Drosophila melanogaster: one gene and its partners. Changing the gene in region 3 together with the main gene of any one other region gives a genetic interaction. Each region holds a gene or a part of one and is shown on either strand. Other genes may lie near its edges. The genes, in order: Cenp-C, gcm, pim and CycB.

Region 1 (7,451 bases), on a different chromosome or scaffold from region 3:
GTGGGCGTGGAGTCCAGCTGCCTAAGCGAGACCTGAAAAATTCCGATTCAATTGTCTGTGCACACTCGGCGAAAATATGTGAACCGAGAACATGTGCAAGCATGTGAATATAAAATATTTAGTTTTTTAGCTTCCCATTAACATATTTTAAACCAATCAAGTGAACTAAAGAATATATATAAGATTATCTATATATAAAATCGTTCTATTAATTCCTTTTATTTGCAAGGTATTTTCCGGGAAACTCGTAATAGAGTGCGGCGTGTGGGATGATCAAAGGGTTGACACTGCTGTAATGAATGTTAGATGGTGTTTTGTTAATTTTAAACGATGTTCCAAGTCCCGTGTGGGGATGCAGGCACTGGCACACCTGCCGGAAAAGTTTCTGTTGATTCAATTTTTGTTTTGTTTTTTTTTTTTTTACAAATTTATGTTTGTGTTCCTGCTGCGTGTGATTTGTGTGTGTGCTTTTTTAAAAATTGCCATACAAAGCAGACGTGCAGATTGTTTTGAAAGTTGCCTGCTTATTTGTTCTTTCTGGCGTTGTTACCCCTGTTTGCCATTTCGCTTTTGAAGTCTCCAATGCCATCAACATCACGGCGAGCGACTTGTGAATTTCAAAGAAAATGGAAATAAAATGAACTTGAAATTCTAAGCAGCTAGGATATGACCCGAAGTTATGGCGTGGGTCTATCACCTTTGCTACTTAAAATACATGAAAAAACTATGTCGGTCTTACATATTTTAACAAAACAACTCTTTATTATTTTTATTTTCTGTGGCGAAAACGTAAGAAATATAAATCGGCTCAATACTTATCCGTATATAAATTACAAAGCAATTACTAACTGCGTATACACATCAGCACACTGACTTTATCTATCGCATTTTGAATACTATACCTAGTGCCTAAGGAAGAAAAGAAACATTCAAATAATATATAATAAATATTATTCAGCAATATCTTACCCCTATCTATCTCGATCATGTCACCAACACGCAGAACAGAATGGACTTCCTTCTCTTCGCCCACGGCTAAGGTCTCCACATTAAATTCGCCAAATTGCACAAGGAGTTTCTAAAAGCAGAATAGGTTTTAAAATGATCTGCGAGTTGAATGGGAATAATCTTATATTTTACTTACAAGTGGATGGACTTTCGCTTGTTTCATGCTACGTTTTTGGTATGGCTTGAATCGCATATAACCCAGCATTGCTTTCTCCTTTGTATTGTAGAAAGCGTAGTCGATACCATCTACCTGACAGAAAATCAATTCGTTTGCAGAAGCTGGCAATGAAAAATAGCAATTATTAATAAATAAGCTATATGGATTCAATTTCTATAGATTTTACACTTACAGACACTGGCGTTTTCATCCGACATACTTGCACTGGGTGGTGCATCGCCGACGCCACGCAGCCACTGCATCAGTTTAGTGGAGGCTTCTTCCTGCTCGTCTCTCAGGGGAGTTGAAAATACGACGGGACCTAGCGCAGCTTCCGTATAAGGCGCCTGCTCGTCAGGAACGTCAGGCTCTTCCTGATCGCTTGTAAGTGGAGCAACCGAAGATATCATAGGCTCTGGCTCTGGTTCTGGCTCAGCCTCCGTATCAGTTTGGACACCTCCAACTGCCTTCTTTGGTCGTCCCCTTTTCTTGGGCACCTTCTCAGCCTCTGCTTGCACTTCAGTTTCTTCCCACGTCAAGGTACTCAGGCCAAGGGATTCGGAATGCGGTATGGCCCCTGGCAGCTTTTCAGAAATTCTTGGGGTACTGCTGCACAATGGTCCCCGGTTGTCGGGTAAGTTCTTCTCTACAGTAGGCTTTGGCTTTGTGGCACTGGCTTTCTTCGCCTTACTCAAATTTCCCTTTTTCGTCTTTGAGTTTTTGCTGCGAGGCTCTATGAAGCCACTCATAAAGTTAAACTTGCTAGGATCCATGGTGTGACACCAACTCATCTGAAGTGGAACTTGACCGCGCTTTGATCTCCGAATACCGGCTAAGGGAGCAGAAAATAATAGAGCATACATTTAATTTTATCAAAACATTTATTATTGAATATACTCACTAGTATTTAGTTCCTCAGCTTCCACCGGCATTTTGGCCAGCTTTAATTTGTCTACTTCAGACTTCCCTTTTTTTGATTTCGCCCTTGGTGCAGGTGCCAATGGTTTCTTGAACACCACATCCGCGCTTGATTCATCCGGGGGACGACTCTTTGACATGTTCTGACTACGCTGCAAAAACTCCAACGCCGCTCTACTCGTGCTGGGTACGTCGTCAGACAAAAGAGTCCTACTGGGAGATGGATTTCTGCTGGGAACATCATCTGAGTTTTGATCAATCGGAGGAGTGGGTGTGTTAACGCGAAGTGATTCCATAACGTCTGATGATTTCTCGGTACATTCTTCCCCTCGATTGCTTAGAGCTACGGATTTTTCTGTACCAACTGCATTCTGGCGGGGATTTGAGAGTTTCTGGGACTTAGATGAACGATTGGCTAACTTATCATTTTCTTTGCTTTTTGATGCGTTCTGGTGATTACGATTCTGTTTGTTACAGGACGAATTCCAATTTGGATCTGGACCTTCAATACATTCTAATGTATGTGATGCCATTTCATCCTTATCGCTCTTTCTTCTAGTGACATTTTTATTTTGAGATTCCTCTTTTCCGTATTCTTCATTGTAAATTGGTTCCTCGTCACTGTCATAGTCTTCGTTATTTTCGTACGAAGGTGCAATAATTTGTTCCTTATTGGACTTTTGTACACTCTGTTTGGAGTGCTGCAATTTTTTTCCACTTCTCCTCAGTATACTTGCTTGCCCATGGTCACTATCGTCGTACTCTGGTGGCTCTGGCGGTTCACAATATTCTACTGCGTTATGTGTATTTCGATCAACAAGATTGCCATTTTTCGTCGATCTCCTTGATTGCTCATTGTTGCGATTCTCTTCTTCAACATATTCGATAGGAGGTGGTACCAGTTCGTTCTCCATCGCCCTTCGTCCATTCTGAGTGGATTGTTGAAGTTCTTTGGCTGTGCAACGCGGCTGGCTTGGTCGCTCATCATGTTCTTCTTCCTGGCCCCCTTCGTACCCCGGTGGAGGTAAAACCAGGTCATTTTTATTGCTCTTTCGCCCACTTGTGCTTCTGCCCCGTGTATTTACAACGTACTCTGGAGGCGGGGGAGCAATCTCAATTGCATCACTATTTACACTATCATGGAAATCTGGTGGGGCTGCCATCACGACATTATCGAAATCAAATTTTCCGGAGCAGGGCAGATTTTGCAAAGATTGCGAATAGCGCAGTGAAACTGGAGGTGGCGGAACAATTTGGATGCTCTTGCTTAGTCTTGGCAATTTTACAGGTGATAATGAATCGTTATCTTCATGGTCCGAGCTACCCTTTGTGTACAGACAACGCTTGCCGTCCTTTGAAGATTTGCGTCGAGTCTCTAAAGTCTGGGAGAGACCCAAATAGTTTACCAATTCTGTTGTCTGCAAAACGGGGAAAAAAGGTTTTTTTTTTCCTTCGCAACATATAAGCGATCTTGAACTTACCATTGGAAGATCACGACGAGTAGATCGTGGTCGCCCTCGTCCCTGCGATCGATCATTGCTTTTAGTTCGAAGACTTTGTGTTTTTGGCGGAACCGGTATATAGTCTTCATTCGAATCATCCGAGGACTGTTGTTTTGGCAAACCTTCGGCCTCATCCATTAGATTTCTACGTAGCAGCTCCCTCTGAATCTCTTCTTCTAGGATAAGCTTCTCTGAACGATGGTTTCTGTGCCCATTTAAAGGATATATCTCGTTCAACGAGTTGCGCTTGCGCAAATCCAAAATCTCGTAGTTGCTCATCCGGGTTAGCTCGCGGGCAAACTGCTCGCCATTAATGGGGGCACTTGGAGCCTTATTCAGCGGTATAGCAGTCTTTCGCGGCTTTGACTTTTTGGCATTGACCGACTTGTGAAGGTTAAGCAAGCGCATAGAGCTCTCCTGAGATTCGATTGTAGCTCGAGCCCGATTACTACTGCGCAAACGCCGTTGCCGGGTTGTGTTCCCACCTGAAGGAGCTAGATTTAATGGCACAGTGCTGGGATGTTCGTCGCTTTCGTCGTCGGTCATTATGGCATCCATATTTTCTTCCACCCGCGGCAGTTGTGCAATGGATTTCTGGGGAGAGGCAGCGGCGGATCGCCTAGGAGAAGGCGCAATCGGTGGTGAAGATAACGCCGTAACTGGCGAAGTCGGAACAGATTTCATTGCGACAGCGTCCCTTCTTACACTACGATTCGAATTGGATGTGTTTATCACCACAATTGGGCTGATCGCGCTGCGCGACAGAGTCTGCACCAACTCTCCCAGATCCTGCGGCTGGGTTTCCGGCACTACGAACTCCGGTTGGGGCTCTGATTGCCAGGCTGGGTCGTGACTTTGTCGCTCTGGCGTGTCCGGGACCATTAACTCCTGATTGAACCGCTTTGCCTTAACTACTGGCATTTTGCTCGGTGTGTCATAGCGATGTGATGGCGATAGCAGCAGCTGGCCTGGAGCTGGGCCCTTTTCCATTGTGTAGGTACGTCGTAGGCCCGCAACGGATGGTGATGACGGAGTAGGGGGTCGCGAGTACGGTGCCCGTCCAGAATAGTCCAGCTGCAGTACATTCTTGTGAAAGGAACTCTGTCGCTCTTTGCAGATTTGTTCAATTTCAGCTGCAAGAATAGGGTTCCTGGCAGGTGAGGTCACCTTTGTCTGCAGCGGATTTTCCGGCTCTGGTTCTTGTGATAGTTCCATAGGTTTTTCCGCTGGTTTATCAGTTTCCACTCTTGTTGTATTTTTGGCAACTTCCTCTTTTTGTTTCTCTGTGCAAGGTGTGCTGCTTATTTCTGGTAACTAAAAGAGCATTGTTGTTAGTACAAGGATTAGGTATTTGTGGGACATGTATTTAACATACGAAGTTTACAGGACTTGATATGCTGCGGGTCAAGTTTACGGTCTCCTCAAACTCTGGAAGCAATTGGCGTCCACAGCTCCTGGACCGCCGGCGGATGGCATGTCGACGTAGTTTATCAGATCCGGGTACATTTCCACTGCGGCGCATGGAACGTCGGTTATTGGGCGACAATGTTGGCGATCGACGCGGAGGCACGTTCTCATTGGGGGCCTGGTCCACAGGCGGCTCATTGACTTTCTCGGTGGCGGCACTGTTTTTGCTGACCAACTCCCCAAGGGGCTGTACTTCTGGTAGTTTGGACTTGGGCTTAGCCTGAGACTTCTTGATCAGTGGAACCTCGAAATCAAGGTCAAAGTCAAGTTTGAAGTTTCCAAAGAGATTGTCATTCTGTGCCGGCTTATTTTCGGCAAGCTTGCGCATCATAAAGGCGGCGAAGCGCTCCTTGTCCTTCACTGGCTGGCTTAGGATGTCGTCCAGCTCCAGAGTGTCGTTGTTCTGGGGCTTCGACCTGAAAAACAGACGGGTGAGCTCGGAGTTTGTATGTTCTCTTGCCTATGGCATGCTCGCGGTGGCAACTTACATATTTGCAATTGAAACTTGAAAAAAGGATTCTTCACGAAGTTACATACACGACAACAATAAACTTAACTTATTTCGCTAAAACTCCACAAAATTTTAAACTACAAAAAAGACGCGACGCTATTCATTTGGCGTTGCCAGTAACGTCTGTAGGCGCGCCTAGGTGGGGTGTTGCCAGAGCGCTCGAATAGACTATCAGAAAAGAGCTATAAATATCTAAAAGTTTCTTTGATAATAATAAGACATCACCCTGTATAATTACAAATGCATGATGCAATCGTTTTTAAACAGTTATTGTTAAATACAGCTGAGTTTATTTCAAAAGTTTTTATTGAAAATATACTCGAAAGCGTTGACCAGCAGGCAACCATTATATGCAGTATTTCATTACTAAAATATACTAAACGCGTAAAACGCAAGCTGGTCACACTTTGCCGGCAATTTTTGTTGACAAAACAAATCCAAAATGTTTAAAGCAAACTAAACCGACTTTTCAGATTGATCTATTTGTTCGAATTCACTTTATAACAACTGGAAGCAGCTTTGAAAAGCAACCAAAAAGTGGAGCTATACATTTTCTGCGAGAAGGCATGCAATAGAGACGCTGTGAAAACGACTTTGCGTTCGAGGTTTTGATTCTGTTGGAAAAGGATTACGATATCCATATAACCAGAGATTGGAGTTTTTTAACTGAATTCATGAATTCCCAATAAGATCCCCTATTCCACAGCACCAATACTCAGTAGTATAAGGCTGGCCAACTGTAATAATGGAGCTTGGATAGCTTCAAAGTGACCGATTGACATGACTTTATAAGTTAGTTATTTATTAAAGGTTATTAAAGATTAGGTATTCGAATGTGTTAGTAATGAAATAAGAAGCAGACGAATGGTTCATTTGAACTTCTTTCCGCCCTTTCTCGTCGTAGGAGCATCCACGCTGGGCACCTGAACGGAGTAATACTTCGTGGAGATCCTGTTAAGGAAGTAGAGCCCCACCAGGGAAAAGAGAACACTGGTGGTGGCGCAGACACGATGCACGAGTCCCGCGGCGGCCACCGTGAGTGAGAGACAGAAAATAATCTCTGGTAGCAGCTTGGCCTGGAAGTCCTGGCCGAAAACAACCATCTCCGCGTTGGAGACGCACGTGAGGCTCAGGATGAACACCCAGGAGAAGAGGTATCCGCCCAAAAGGACCCTCAGCTGCGAGTCGTTAAACCATTCTGAGCAGAAACGCAGTGTGCCGAACAAAACAATGCTCAGGAGGCCCGAGATGATGGAGGATACCACGGTGCTCTTACTGCTCACTGAAGCGGCTGCAAAGGTTCAGAGTTTAGTTTTTGTTGGCCGTAATTTCCTTGCATTTGCTTACACATATTACTTTTTCTTCCAGCCGGCGTCTTTCTTATACGTGTAGTGAATTATCGAACTATCGAAACTGATATTTGATAATACAAGGGATATTCCAGTATGTAACGACTAAACAAAGTTTTATTCGTTAGGCAGGCATTTTTCTCTATTTTTTTTACGTATTTACATGAAAAATTCTCGAATGACAAATTTGTGCTTGCAATAAAAATAAAAACAGATATCGTTATTTAAATACTGACATCGATAATTTTTTTTGAGAAGTAATATTTAAATCAATTGATGTGGCAACGCTGCGGCTTTCGTGGTGAATGACATTTGTAGTAACAACATTACACTTGAGCACAATTTTAATAAATTGTAAATAAAAAACGCCTTCAACATGTCCTTTGTGTTGCAATTGGCCACCAGGACAGTACGAAGTACCATTGCTCAGGTGCGTGGCGTAGCCACCACAATGCCAAGGCAAATAAAAGAGAGTGAGTTACAGAGACCTCTGTGAAGTGTTTCATAACCCCTCAAATAAATGCACATCTTTAAAATTA
Region 2 (4,297 bases), 780 kb from region 3:
GTGATGTCTCGTAATTGAAACGGAACAGTTAATTCCGGGCATCATTAAGGCGACACACCCACCTTGAGTGCGGGAATCTGGGACCAGGTAGGATGTGCTTCCCCAGCACAGCCTCATAATATGCCACGTCATGACTTTCTTCTGTGTCAACGCCCCTCGAGTCCCGGTCGGAGCACCCTTTCCCATTGTCCGCCGTAATCCTTTGAGTTCCTATCGCGTGCTACGATCCTGATCTTTGGGCGACTCCTTGGCAGAAAGGCGCCGCGGGTTGCTCGCTCAGTTCGTGTCATAATTGCATGGCATTTGGTCTGTCGTGGAAGTGTGAAAATTATGGAGTTTCCTCACCCTTTCGTCATCTTAATGATTATGTTTGTTTCGTTTATCTCTGACTTGAGATCGCCAAGGGGCCCAAGGAATTTGTTTGGCAAACTTTGCTTCATTCATATGCGTGAGTTATGGCATTTGCCTTTGGGTTTGTAGGGGAGGTTTTCCAATATGGGATTTCTTCTTTTTGATTTCCGTTTTTTTGCGTGCTAAATTGTGTTTTACGATTATGAGATCCCTGATTTCATCTTGAAGATATCGGCAGGAGCTCGACATTTCGGTTTCTTTTTTTGCAAACGTTTATTTCTTTATCGATTTTGAGATCGTGAGAAGTAGTTCCGTTAGCTATACCGTTGCCTTACCAAATTCTATAATAGTGACTATATATAGTGGTAATATTTCTATATTTCTGTGAGTCATTTCCATTAAAATTTACGTTTGATTTTGAAATTTTTTTACAGAATAATTTCTACCTCTGAAGTTAAGTAGATTTAGCAGCTTTAATGTCCGCATTAAAAAAGTCTTAAAGCCTTGAACTAAATTACTTTCCGTGCTTCGTTGGAACCATCTCCATTTTGTTCGTAACTCTGCTTGCCCTCCAACCATTTCACTTTGCTCCCCATTTCGACATCCACATCCAGTTCGAAAGTAAATAGGCCCGACCACTGGCATCTGCCAGTGACTGTCGCCAGGTGTACCCATCAGAACCCATGCCATACAGCACATCCCCATCCACACACAGCCCCATCCCCATCTCCATTTCCATTACTGATGTTGTAAACTTTTTTTCTGAACTTAATTAGCTTTGACTGGGGTTGGGGCCGTGTTCTTTGCCATCGAGTGCCTCAAACCCCTGGTTCTCATATCGTACAATTACCCAGTGGAGCGCGTGCTGCAACCGCAGGTGCTAGAGCAGCACAGCACTCGTCTCCCTGCCCAGTTGCCAGTTCCCAGCTCCCAGCTCCCTGTGCTCAAGCTCTCCCAGCTCCCAGTTCCCTATAGAACGAATTCTCCATCTCCAGCTGCTGCTACCACTACTACCAATCAAACCTGCTCGGGAACTCTCCTAATTTCCCAAACTGGAGTGCCGGATAAGGCGGATAAGCCGCACACAAGCGCACCCGAACTGGAAGTCAGCATGGACCAATGGGCGTACCGCTTTGCGACCGAGCAACCCTCGTGCGATTCGACCGCTGGCAACTTAACTGTGCTGCGCAGAGCGGGCCCAGTTAGTCAGCCTTGCGCAGTCGATGCGAACGGACGCGTCGCTCCAGAGAAAAGTTGAGAAGAAGTACACAGTAGTAATAGACTATTGAGAAGGAAAACTATAGTGACCGCGTGTGAACTTGAAACTAACGATTACATAGACACATCAAAAATGGTTTTGAACGGCATGCCTATAACAATGCCAGTACCGATGCCAGTGCCCATGCCTGTGCCCAGTCCTCCGGCCACCAAGTCCCGGGTGGCGATCGACTGGGACATCAACGATTCCAAGATGCCGTCGGTGGGGGAGTTTGACGATTTCAATGACTGGTCCAACGGACATTGCCGGCTCATCTACTCCGTGCAGAGTGATGAGGCCAGGAAACATGCCAGCGGTTGGGCCATGCGAAACACCAACAACCACAACGTGAATATCCTAAAGAAGAGCTGCCTGGGAGTGCTCCTCTGCAGTGCCAAGTGCAAGTTGCCCAATGGAGCCAGTGTGCATCTGAGACCCGCCATTTGCGACAAGGCCAGAAGGAAGCAGCAGGGCAAACAGTGTCCCAATAGGTGGGTTTTTGACTAAACACAAAATCCAAGAATTGTCAAAACTAACTCGGTATTTTTATTTTTTTTTCTTGACAGAAATTGCAATGGTCGCTTGGAAATCCAGGCTTGCCGCGGCCACTGCGGCTATCCAGTGACCCACTTCTGGCGCAGGGACGGAAATGGAATCTATTTCCAGGCCAAGGGCACCCACGATCACCCCAGACCCGAAGCCAAGGGATCCACGGAAGCCAGGCGACTTTTGGCAGGAGGAAGACGTGTGCGAAGTTTGGCCGTAATGTTGGCCAGGGAATCGGCGCTGAGCGACAAGCTGAGTAGCCTGAGACCCACAAAACGGCAGGCCAAGACTCAGTCCATCCAGGAGAGCAAGCGCAGAAGGATGGGTGCTTCCGATGTGCTCGAAACCAAGCAGGAGTTAGTGGTGCCACCCACCACCTACCTGCCCACATCGACGCCCACACATAGCACCAACTTTAATCAATCTCAGGGTTCATATGTCCCAGCAGGACAAGGATCAGTGATCAGTCAGTGGAATAGAGAGATTCACTACGAAACGGAGGATCCATGCTATGCCAATGGAATGTACTCCTACGATATGCTCCACTCACCTCTCTCAGCGCATAGCTCCACGGGCAGTTATTACCAGGAGAACAAACCGCAGCAACTGCAGCACTCACAATACCAGCAGCAACTCTCACCGCAGCAACATGTACCAGTCAGCTATGATCCCAGCCAGCCAATCTCCTCCAGCCTTCAGTGCGGAATGCCTTCGTATGAAATATGCGACGATACGTCCAGTTTGACCAGCAGCTCGGGCTACTGTTCCGAGGATTATGGCTACTACAATGGATATCTACCCAACTCGCTGGACGTGAGCAATGGAAGCCAAAGCCAGAATCTTAGCCAGGATGCAAGTTTCTACACAACCAGCTCGGAGATCTTCAGTGTGTTTGAGTCAACTCTGAATGGCGGAGGGACCAGTGGCGTGGATCTCATCTACGACGAAGCAACCGCCTATCAGCAACATCAGCAACAGGGAACTTTTCCGCATCTCACCAATTATCAACAGGAGCCGCAGGATCAGATGCAGTCCGCCGACTACTACTACAGCAATACGGGAGTGGACAACTCGTGGAACATTCAAATGGACGCGACATATCACCCAGTCAACAGCACGGATCCCATCTATTGCTAGGGGATCGGGATAAGATCTCTCATCGCAACTACTATTACTGAGCCACTCAAGCGTTGTTCTAGTCCCTAGTTGATTGATTTCCATTCATGTTCCCATTGCTTGTTGGTCGTGTATTATTATATATTGAACGTTTCTAGTTTGTACTTTTGTACTTGTTTCCCAGCTATTCCAAAGTTTTAGAGCACGTAAGAGTAATAGTATTCTTAAGCACATAGAGTTTTAAGTCACATTTCCCACCTATTTATGAACTTTTTTGTAGTAATAAACATTTTTGAAAGAAAAACTTAATCGAAGCAGCCTTTTTTTGAGAATTGACACGTGTCAAGCAAGGGAGCTCGTAATCATTGTCAGTATAACATTACCAGCGGCAGGATATACAACTAGGGATTTTCCTCAACAACAAGTTTAAATTCGTTAGTCAACCAAAATCGTGTAACAATGGGTGCTTGTCGCCCTAGAAAATGTAGTGCAAATAACCGAACTATGGCAATTGTGAGTACTAAATAAAGGCCTAAACAAATAACAATGAATAAAACCAAATTTTGTATTGAGAAGCGTCGCCGTAGAGCTCTAGTTAACTTGCTATTTTTGCGCCGTCATTTGATTGGACAGGCACTTGGAATTACGAATCGGGAAACTCCAGACCTTAGGGTAAAATCGCGGCGACGCAATCGTAGAAGGAGAATGCAATTCAGAGTCCGTACACCAAGTGATAATGCAATGCGCTCAGTAAGGCATCATGGACAGAATCCAATCAGCCCAGGATCACGGCTACAACGAAATAATCCACTTTGGGGACACGCCGACATTATAACCACAGATAGAGCGTTGGAAGCTTTAAATGGACTTACTACAGGGAACAGGGAACCAAATGCATTGTCAGTAATGGTGCGATATACCAATGGGCGGTGTAAGTTGAGCTGTACTTATTGCTAATACAATGAAGTGCATAATTAATACTCTCTTATTAGATTATTTAAGCTTAGAGCCAAGTGGAAATCAGCA
Region 3 (3,442 bases):
CCAGACACTTGGCTGCAGCGCGACGAACCTTCCAGCTCATGTCGTCGTCGTCACTGTACTCCTCACTATCGACGTACTCATCATCCTCCGTGTCCATGGCATTGCCAGTGTCGCCATCATCCGTCTCGTAGTTGTAGTTTGGATCGTAGGTGATATAGTTGAGGCACAGCTCCAGGATCTAACAAAACCCATAAGCTATTAAACGTGAATGAGAACATAAAGCATGTGTACTCCTTACCATGGGAATATGCGGGTTTATGGCATCTGGGCAGCGCATGACGAAAGCTTCGCAGGCCTGCAGACAAAACTCGCGCAGCTCATCGTCATCCCGCTGGCTGTACTGGCTCAGCAGGAGCATGGAGCGATCAATGTGATTGCAAAGTCGATGGCCAGCCTGTCGACTAAAGAGTAAAGTTAAATAAAATTGCATCTAAAGATCATATGGCATAAAATATATAACAATTTCAGGAATTGGAACTTACCATATCGAAGCCAGGCACTGAATGTAAGTTCGAATGGCAGCTGGATTTGGTGGGTTCTCTAGGCCATCGAGCAGATGATCGATGACACCGTTGTAGGCGTTGCTATTGGCCTGGATCAGCAGAAATGACAGGGCCACGATGGTACGCTTGCGAACAGCCTGGCGCGATGAGGCCAACTGGGGCATCAGAGCTTTCAGAATGGTGCTGTGGAAGGGAACGAGGAACTCCCCGAAGCGAGAGAGCAGATCGGCCAGAATGTCCAGCGACTCCAGTTTCACAGAGACGTCCTCCTATTAAGGAACAACGGATTAAACGTTTGGGTGCCTAGGGAATAGCAATATAACGCACCTTCTCAATTGCTGTGCTCAGTTTGCCGGTGATCCTTTGACAGACATTTGGGGCCAGGGAGTTTGAGGACTGCGGCAGCTCGGCAATCACTGTCTTTAGGCCAATACTCGATATGTCGCGCAGCTGCTCCGTGTTGGACATCATGTTGGCGCACAGCGAGTCCACGATGGTCTCCACCTGGATCTCCTTCACCTTGTTGACCAGGGGACCCAGGCACTTGACAGCCAGGTTCTGAACTTCGCCGTTCTTGTCTTCCAGCAGCTTGAGCACCATTCGCACCACCTTTTTCTCGGACTCGTCGTCCAGGATGATGCTATCCTTCTGTAGCTCCGTCATCAGATCGTTTGTCGCCATGAAACGGAAGTCCTTGTCCGTCGACGTCATCTGCAGCAGACGAGAGAGCGGAATTAGAATTTCGTTATGTTGCAAAAATGAAATTCTATACATACTTTTTCCAGCAAATTGGCAATTTGGTGGTACTGATGTGACGCCATAGCGAAGGCTTTGAAACGTTCGATCGATAGCAATTAACTGATAAGTGAAATATTGTGTATTTGTATTGGGCTGCCCTATTTTTGGTGTTCTAAAACTTGAAAATTTACTGAAATTTTTCCGGTATTGAATCTCCAAGTTTTATATTCACTCAATTTTGTTATAAAGGCTGCTTAAGTGGGCCCACTTTGAAAAACTAAAAAACCCACTTTATAATCCCTAATGCCTTTTGGATGCCGATAATGGTTTTGGTACATTTTCGTGGTATAAAATACGGTGGAGAAATATTTTGGAACAAGATTTTATGTACTAGTAAATTTTTATATTTAGGTTATTTTATTTTTGAGTTAATACATGACAATCAAAATATAAATATATATATTATCAAATATTAATTCCCAATTTATTTACTAGTAAAATACTTTGTGTCATTACCATCGTTTCAGATGAACGATATATCAGCTATGTGGCACTAAGAGTCTCCCATCTCTAGAAAAGTGCCGCTCGTTTTCAGGAATTATTTTAAACTAAACCGCAGCTCACTGCTAGAATTCAATCAAAATACCTTTTTAACACCAATAAATGCTAACAAAATGGATCAGATTTTAAACAAGGAAAACACCGGCATTAATTGTAAGTTGAATTAGGTTCGACTCCCGTTCGTGTTAGTAATTACATAGCCATTTATCATTGCAGTGCCAGCGAATCCCATTAAAAATGGAGTTCCTACAAATTCCGTATTGAAGAAACCTCTTGGTAACCTTGACAATGTGATGCACCAAACTCCTGGAATAACCCCGTTCAAAAGCACTTCTCTGAAACTCGAGGGTAGTATTGCCAAGCTTTCGCTGCGAAAGGCCCCCAAACAAAATGTGGTCAGCAGGGATCGCGAGGAAGTTAGGTATAAAACAAATAGCTGCTTTTTGGGCGCCTACGTATTGAATTGCGAATACAGAGTCGTCAATTTGTTCAACTACACTGACTTTCCGAACGAGAAATGTTTGAAGAACTGCAGCAAGCGTAAGTACCGCTCATATTAAACAACTCCCCTTGAAAATTGTACTATAAGTTGTATTATTACAGCGGTCACAGAGACCTGGTCGGAAAATCAAGAGGGCTATGAAGGACTATTGGATCAACTTTATCTTGATCTGCGCACATTGGAAAATAATTTGGAAAACAGATGCCTTCCGCCCCTAGATTTTACTGACCTGCCATACATATACAACACAGAAAACATGGAGCCTGCAGAGCCTGAATACTTATTAAATTTATATCCCCCATTGCCTAACTTGGAAGGCATTGATGTTCTATTTTAGATCCTTGTTTAAAAGTTCTATGATTAATTGTAGTTTAATATTTTTTAGCTAGGTATCTTTGTACTACTAATTAATTATTTATTAATGTTATGCTAAGAGAAACTGTTATACCATTAGCTATCCAAGTTTGTTGTCTCGAATCACATTTGTGAAAAATATTTTTTTTACGCTACAATATATTTAGTAGTTTAAGAACCGACATTAAGCCTCCAACAGGCAATTATATGTGTACGATGTACCTCGTTTGGAAGTGATTTTGAATTAAAGCAACTATAAAAACTAACTGGGAGATTAATTTATGGAGCTTTGGAGTTCAGTTGTGAATGTAAACAGAGTTTATTGCTTCCACCTTTTGTCTCTTGATATTTATCAGCATTCGCGGGGCTTAAGTATATTCACTCCGTTTATATTGAATTTGATATTTGGTGGAATAATTCTAATCTATTTTTAGGGTTTCCTCTGTGTTTGCCTAATATGAAAAGTTTATATTTATTTGGGAATTAAACATTTTTGTTCAGTAAACCAAAATATTTTCCCAGCTAGCTAGCTTTTGTTTGCATCTTGTTAGCCTTTTCCCGCTAAATGACGTCTGGCTTTTTTCTGGTGGCCAACAGTTGGCAACACTGCGGCACAGTAATGTATCCAGTTTTTTTTACATTGCTGCAGAAAGGTTTCTCGTCTCGCTGGTGACCTTAGTGGTCCGTTCTCCTGGATAAAATAAAAGTGAAAATTAACAATATGAGTGTATAAAACGAAATGTAAATGCAAAAGAGGTATAAATCTAACAAATAAACATATACT
Region 4 (5,543 bases), on a different chromosome or scaffold from region 3:
TACGGGGCTCCAACTTTTACGGCTGTTAATTCAAATGTTTATGCACTAATTAATTGCCCAGGCATTGCATTACGAGTCATTTGTTGTGGGCCACTTTTTTTTTTTTTTTGCACTCTATCTTATTTATGTTTCGTTTTATTTTAGTGGCTGGTGTACTTTAGTTTGTTGCCTAAGTTCTTCCTTATGGATCGACACTCGAGATAAGACCAAATGGTGCTTGAAAAATGCTATTTTAGCTCCAGCTCCAGTTCTGAATTGCCAATATATTGTACATATAATGCCAGTCTTTTGTCATTTAAACGCACTTGATTTTATTTAAACGCCAGCGCACAATTAAGCAGCCAGCAACAAACACACACGGCATATAGATCATCGGCTCTGGAGCATAACGATCTTCTGGTTTTATGTCCATAGCCGAAAAGCACTTTATATGTATATTTTTTAACTAAAAATCGCTAAATCACGCCGAAATCTGACCGCTTTGGGGCATTTAAAATTTGAAACGATTTACTGGAGGTCAATGCGCGTTGGATCGATCGAAGGACTTTTTTCGTGGCGACGAAAGAGACGGCGACAGAAGCGCAGAAAGAGGCGGCGAGAGCGAGGCAACCACTCGCGACGGCGGCACTTTTGCGAATGAAATGTGAAAATCACGGAAAACTCGAGCTCGCGATCGTCGGCTGGCGCTCCATTCTCGTTCGGCTTTTTGGCCGGAGTTCGCAAAAGTACTTTTGGAGCGCAAACAGACTCATAAATATATGCTAATGAGCCAGAGCGCCGGAAGAAGAGAAGAAGAATGCGCCAACCGTTAAGACGCAGCAAAGGGCCACAAAAAAAAAACAGGAGAGTTTGGGGTACTAAACAAAAACAGAGGCAAAATTCTGAGGCGATGGCGATTGTTTTGTGGTCAAGTGCTTGAAAATGATGGAGCAGACGAAAACTTGACACTGATCATCAGCAAAAAAGGCTGCGGAGTGGCAAGAATTATGCTGCATTTCCGCCGCGGAGTTTCGATGTTCTGCGGCCTGTGGCAGCAGGAAATCTTAAATCAGCGAATGCAAATCAGGGGGGCACAAAAACAAACCGAACACAGCCAATTGAAGTGATCAACTTTTAATTGATGCAATCAATGGATGGTGCAACCGAGTGACGACTGGCAGTCAAAGCGATGGCTTTATTAAAATGGGGAACCTTAACCAACTATCAAATTTAATCCATGAAGTTTTCATTTTTAAAATATGTATAAAATGGATTGAGCTTGAATATCTAACAGAAATTTCAAACTGTAACGTTTTCTTTTTCGGCTAATTTTAAATTTAAATTTGAAATTTATGGGTAGCACTGTTTCAGCCCTGTCATCGATAAGCTGTGCACCAGTACTGGTCACACTAAAACTATCGAAAATTATCGCACGTATCGCATCTCTATTTTGCATGCTCTGCTCTAATAAATCGATTATTCTCGAGCGCCACTGCGGCTTAAAAGGGAACTAAGTCCAGAAATCGATATCGTCAAACTCATCGGCATTTATCATCGAGTTTACTTCCATCCCCATTCCCATTTTCAAATTCAAACGGCAGCTTGGCCTCGCTTCGTGTGCAAAAACTCGATCAGGTTTTCGGAGAATTGACAATCCCGCACTCGACTTGTAAATTATAAACTATTAGTAATCATATATTCGGACAACAAATTCAACAGCTAAACAAGCGTTCGGTCACAGAAACGCGATCAAAAGTCAACCAAACCAAGTGATAGCCAAGCGTCTGCCTATCTTCGTGTTAATTGTGTTTGTACAGATAGAAAAGAAGCAATCAAAATGGTGGGCACAACACTGAAAATGCGTGGCGATGAGGTGAGTTGATCCCTAGAACATTAAGATTACCGTGGCATCCGCGAAAAGGTCATGGTAAAGTCACAAACTAGTGGGCTCGTCATCAGCGAGACGCCATTGCAGCGTGGTCATGTAGAGAGGGGCAAAGAGGACGCTGCGATAGTGCGATGAGTGTGTGAAGGGAGGGGGAAAAGAAAGAGTGCCGTTTGTCCCGGGCGCTCATTGTTGTCGTTGTTGCAGTTGCCTTGCTCACATTTTGGCGCAATTTTCTACCGGCGGTGCTTGCACCGTTAATTAGTACTCTCCACACCTATTTTTCGCACCAAATCACAGAGGAGATAAATCGAGGATCAGTCTTGCGGTGCTTTTCCCAAAATGGCCGCCCTTGAAAAGGTGCATTTCATGATCAAGTCATTATTATGCAACAAACTGATCTTGCTTTAACAATTTAAAATAATTAAAATCAGTGCTCAATAATTAAAGATGTTAAAGAATAGGGTTCAAAGTGCAGATATGCATTCAACTATACTTGTTGCACTTCTCCATTTGTTTTCTAAAACTAATTAAACAATATTCGATAGAACGCTTCGGAGAACTTCAAGCAAGTGCAATTGAAGAAATTGACGGTTCCTTCCATGGAGGCAACAACAAAACGCGCGGCCTTGGGCGATTTGCAGAATCGCGGCATAAGTCGTCCCATCGCAGCGAAGGATGCGGCACAGAAAGAGTAAGTGTTTGAACCAGTATCAAGTATTCCATTCGCAATCACATGTGGTTACTCCACCGAGCAGCTCCAAGGATCTCAAGCTCACAGACGCCCTGCGCAATGCCAAAGCTCGGGTGGACAGCCACTGGAAGAAACAGCCACTGGGCAGCACCAATGGCAATGGCAATGGCGCCGTTCCGCCCAAGGTCAACGAGGGGGGCGTGTCGGCGTTTTTGCGTTCGAATTCGGTGCGCAATCGCGTTCCGACCAAGACCACTGTAGAACCCACTAAAGGTAAGCAAAAGAGCAATCATCTACCAATCATCATCATCTACCATTTCCAATTTTTGAATGGCTTGCATCATACTGACCCCAATTCATCTTGAATCCCCAAAGTTACAGTCAAGTCCAGTTCTTCCGAGAACGTGAACGAGCCCACCTTAAAGCGCGAGGACAGCAATCTGTCGAAGAAGTCGCTGACCAAACTGCGTGCCGCTTTGGCCAAACCCGTGATGGGAGTTTCAGGAATTCGACGGGAACCAGTAGCTGTTTCCCGCAAAGAGGCAGAGACCAAGAAGGAACTGCCAGAAACCAAGAAGGACTCACTGGAAGTGAAAAAGGATGCGACCAGGATGCCCCTTATTAGGGGCAACAGTGCAGTCACTACGACCACATCTACGATGCCCACCACCATGTCCCTTTCCAGCAAGCGCTTGGCTGGAATCGAGGACATTGATGCCAATGACAAGGAGAACCTGGTACTGGTCTCCGAATATGTAAACGACATCTACGACTACTTGTATCAGGTGGAGCTGGAGCAGCCCATTCACAAGGATCACCTGGCCGGACAGAAGGAGGTGTCCCACAAGATGCGAGCCGTGCTGATCGATTGGATCAACGAAGTCCACCTGCAGTTCCATCTGGCTGCAGAGACCTTCCAGCTGGCGGTGGCTATCATTGATCGCTACCTGCAGGTGGTCAAGGACACCAAACGCACGTACTTGCAATTGGTGGGAGTGACAGCACTCTTCATAGCCACCAAGTACGAGGAGCTGTTCCCGCCGGCAATCGGAGATTTCGTCTTCATCACGGACGACACCTACACTGCCCGGCAGATCCGACAGATGGAGCTGCAAATCTTCAAGGCCATCGACTGTAATCTGTCGCGTCCGCTGCCGATTCACTTCCTTCGACGCTACTCGAAGGCTGCTGGCGCCGAGGACGAGCACCATACGATGTCCAAGTACTTCATCGAGTTAGCTTCCGTGGACTACGAAATGGCCACTTACAGGCCATCGGAGGTGGGTTTCAATACACTATCCCCTTTTATTTAGCATAGGTATATGTAATATTTTTTGCGGCGCCTTTAGATTGCAGCTGCCTCACTGTTCCTGTCGCTGCACTTGCTCAATGGAAACCACCGGGCCGGTACAGGATTCAACGACCGTCACTGGACGCCCACTCTGACCTTCTACTCGCGATACTCGGCCGCGCACTTGCGTCCGATTACCCGGCTGATCGCGAAACTGGCCCGGGACGCTCCTCAGGCCAAGCTGAAGGCCATCTACAACAAGTACCAGGGCAGCAAGTTCCAGAAGATCGCGCTGCGAACGGAGCTGACCGGTGCGCTGATGGACTCGATTGTGGGCCAGAGCCAGAGGAAATAGTGCGGTCCAAGGCGGACTGGAAGACCCTGACTTACCTAGTTTAGTTTAATTTGTTTTCATTTTTAAATTTGTAGCGTATTTCATTTTCTGTTCGTTTCGTGTTCGTTAAAAAATGCGTATAGTTACCGTAGTCGCATTGCCAACTATCTTTACCTGCATCACCCATCCCTAAGATATCGTAATCTGCTGGAGTCCCTTGAGCAGTTTTCGGCTACTGCCAAGAGCTGGCTCCGGCATCTTTGCCCACGGAGCACAAGTTGCTCGCGAGCCGGCCGCTGGGAGTGAGTTCCTCCGGTAAGACTAGGAACCGAACTAAACTGGAGCCCGTCAGCTCCTTTCGCTGGGTCACCATCTCAGTGGGAGCGAGCGGCGGAGCGGTGGACACCGAGAGAGAGAGTGGGCAACGAGTTCATTTGCTGGCCGAACACATCGGCGTTGTCTCTCCAAGAATTATATTTTATAATTGTACCCGTGAAATCATTTCATCCCCTACCTACCTATCACTAATTGTATTTGTCGTTAGTTTTTAGTTTCGATGGGAATGAATAAATCCAAAAAATTGTGCAAAATTATTCCCATAAATCGCATAAAAAAGAGACGTAGACTATTTGTAATTTATATCATGTATTTCGCACATTCATACAAAAACAACTTATGCTAGTTATATTGTTTACCACTAAGCAACGATTAAAACACGTTTTAACTAACTGATGTTTCCCAAAAATGTCTCTGAACAATACATAGAAAATAAAGTTTTGTATAATTTTATAAACAATATTCGTGTTTACCTTGCATGCAATGTGCCGCCATGTGACTTCATTAGTTTTGAAATCTTTCCGACAGCTGATAAGTGTGAGAAATTTTCCACACCCCTAAAAAAACCAGACAGCCTGAGATGAACGCAGACCCTTTTCCAAGGACGGAGGTCCTTTTGTCCTGCATTCTTATCAATCCTGAATACACAATATATGTACAGTGATATACCTCTGTATACCCTGCACCTATGTACATACATACAAACATATGTATAGTCGGCGCCCCTGGGGAAGGTCACCTTCCCGATCGCAGGTCAGTTACTTCTCTTCCGCTTCTCCCTTTCCTTCTTCCCTTTTTAACGCTTTTCTCTCCCTTTTTTTGGTACCGTGTTCCATGGGCAACGGTAATTGCCGAGCACATTGCTCGCACATGGTTGTGCGTGTGTGTGTGTGGGTGTCTATCTCACTTTTCTCATGTACAGTAGTTACTCGATACAAAGCCAAATAAAGGCAACCTTATAGTTAAGTTCTTAAGAAACATATAAGCGAATTATCGAACGAATATTTCAAATAGTTTTCGTTAG

Evidence for each region.
Region 1: of pim (region 3) and Cenp-C, changing one enhances a phenotype caused by changing the other (phenotypic enhancement), as found in Drosophila melanogaster (one study listed by BioGRID).
Region 2: of pim (region 3) and gcm, changing one suppresses a phenotype caused by changing the other (phenotypic suppression), as found in Drosophila melanogaster (one study listed by BioGRID).
Region 4: of pim (region 3) and CycB, changing one suppresses a phenotype caused by changing the other (phenotypic suppression), as found in Drosophila melanogaster (one study listed by BioGRID).

The regions. Positions count from the first base shown.
Region 1 is NT_033777.3:8,562,346-8,569,796, reverse strand, and holds Cenp-C (centromeric protein-C), read right to left. Parts: upstream 5,693-7,451; 5' UTR 5,543-5,692; coding exon 5,541-5,542; intron 5,469-5,540; coding exon 4,961-5,468; intron 4,900-4,960; coding exon 3,565-4,899; intron 3,502-3,564; coding exon 2,067-3,501; intron 1,998-2,066; coding exon 1,359-1,997; intron 1,288-1,358; coding exon 1,145-1,287; intron 1,079-1,144; coding exon 970-1,078; intron 910-969; coding exon 845-909; 3' UTR 549-844; downstream 1-548. Other genes in the region: CG31460 (uncharacterized protein), read right to left, coding at 6,433-6,854, 6,911-6,914; mRpS18A (mitochondrial ribosomal protein S18A), read left to right, coding at 7,289-7,385.
Region 2 is NT_033779.5:9,578,998-9,583,294, reverse strand, and holds gcm (glial cells missing), read left to right. Parts: upstream 1-1,549; 5' UTR 1,550-1,702; coding exon 1,703-2,100; intron 2,101-2,175; coding exon 2,176-3,292; 3' UTR 3,293-3,730; coding exon of another isoform or gene 3,731-3,784; 3' UTR 3,785-3,797; downstream 3,798-4,297. Other genes in the region: CG31709 (uncharacterized protein), read left to right, coding at 3,731-3,784, 3,848-4,202, 4,264-4,297. UniProt on the Drosophila melanogaster protein: Transcription factor that induces gliogenesis. It determines the choice between glial and neuronal fates. Also has a role in the differentiation of the plasmatocyte/macrophage lineage of hemocytes.
Region 3 is NT_033779.5:10,361,184-10,364,625, forward strand, and holds pim (pimples), read left to right. Parts: upstream 1-1,805; 5' UTR 1,806-1,915; coding exon 1,916-1,955; intron 1,956-2,018; coding exon 2,019-2,342; intron 2,343-2,405; coding exon 2,406-2,641; 3' UTR 2,642-2,909; downstream 2,910-3,442. Other genes in the region: Cand1 (Cullin-associated and neddylation-dissociated 1), read right to left, coding at 1-178, 239-401, 483-772, 831-1,214, 1,280-1,324.
Region 4 is NT_033778.4:22,802,955-22,808,497, reverse strand, and holds CycB (cyclin B), read left to right. Parts: upstream 1-1,549; 5' UTR 1,550-1,816; coding exon 1,817-1,852; intron 1,853-1,998; exon of another isoform or gene 1,999-2,206; coding exon of another isoform or gene 2,207-2,224; exon of another isoform or gene 2,225-2,412; coding exon 2,413-2,558; intron 2,559-2,622; coding exon 2,623-2,831; intron 2,832-2,933; coding exon 2,934-3,838; intron 3,839-3,907; coding exon 3,908-4,204; 3' UTR 4,205-4,977; downstream 4,978-5,543. UniProt on the Drosophila melanogaster protein: Essential for the control of the cell cycle at the G2/M (mitosis) transition.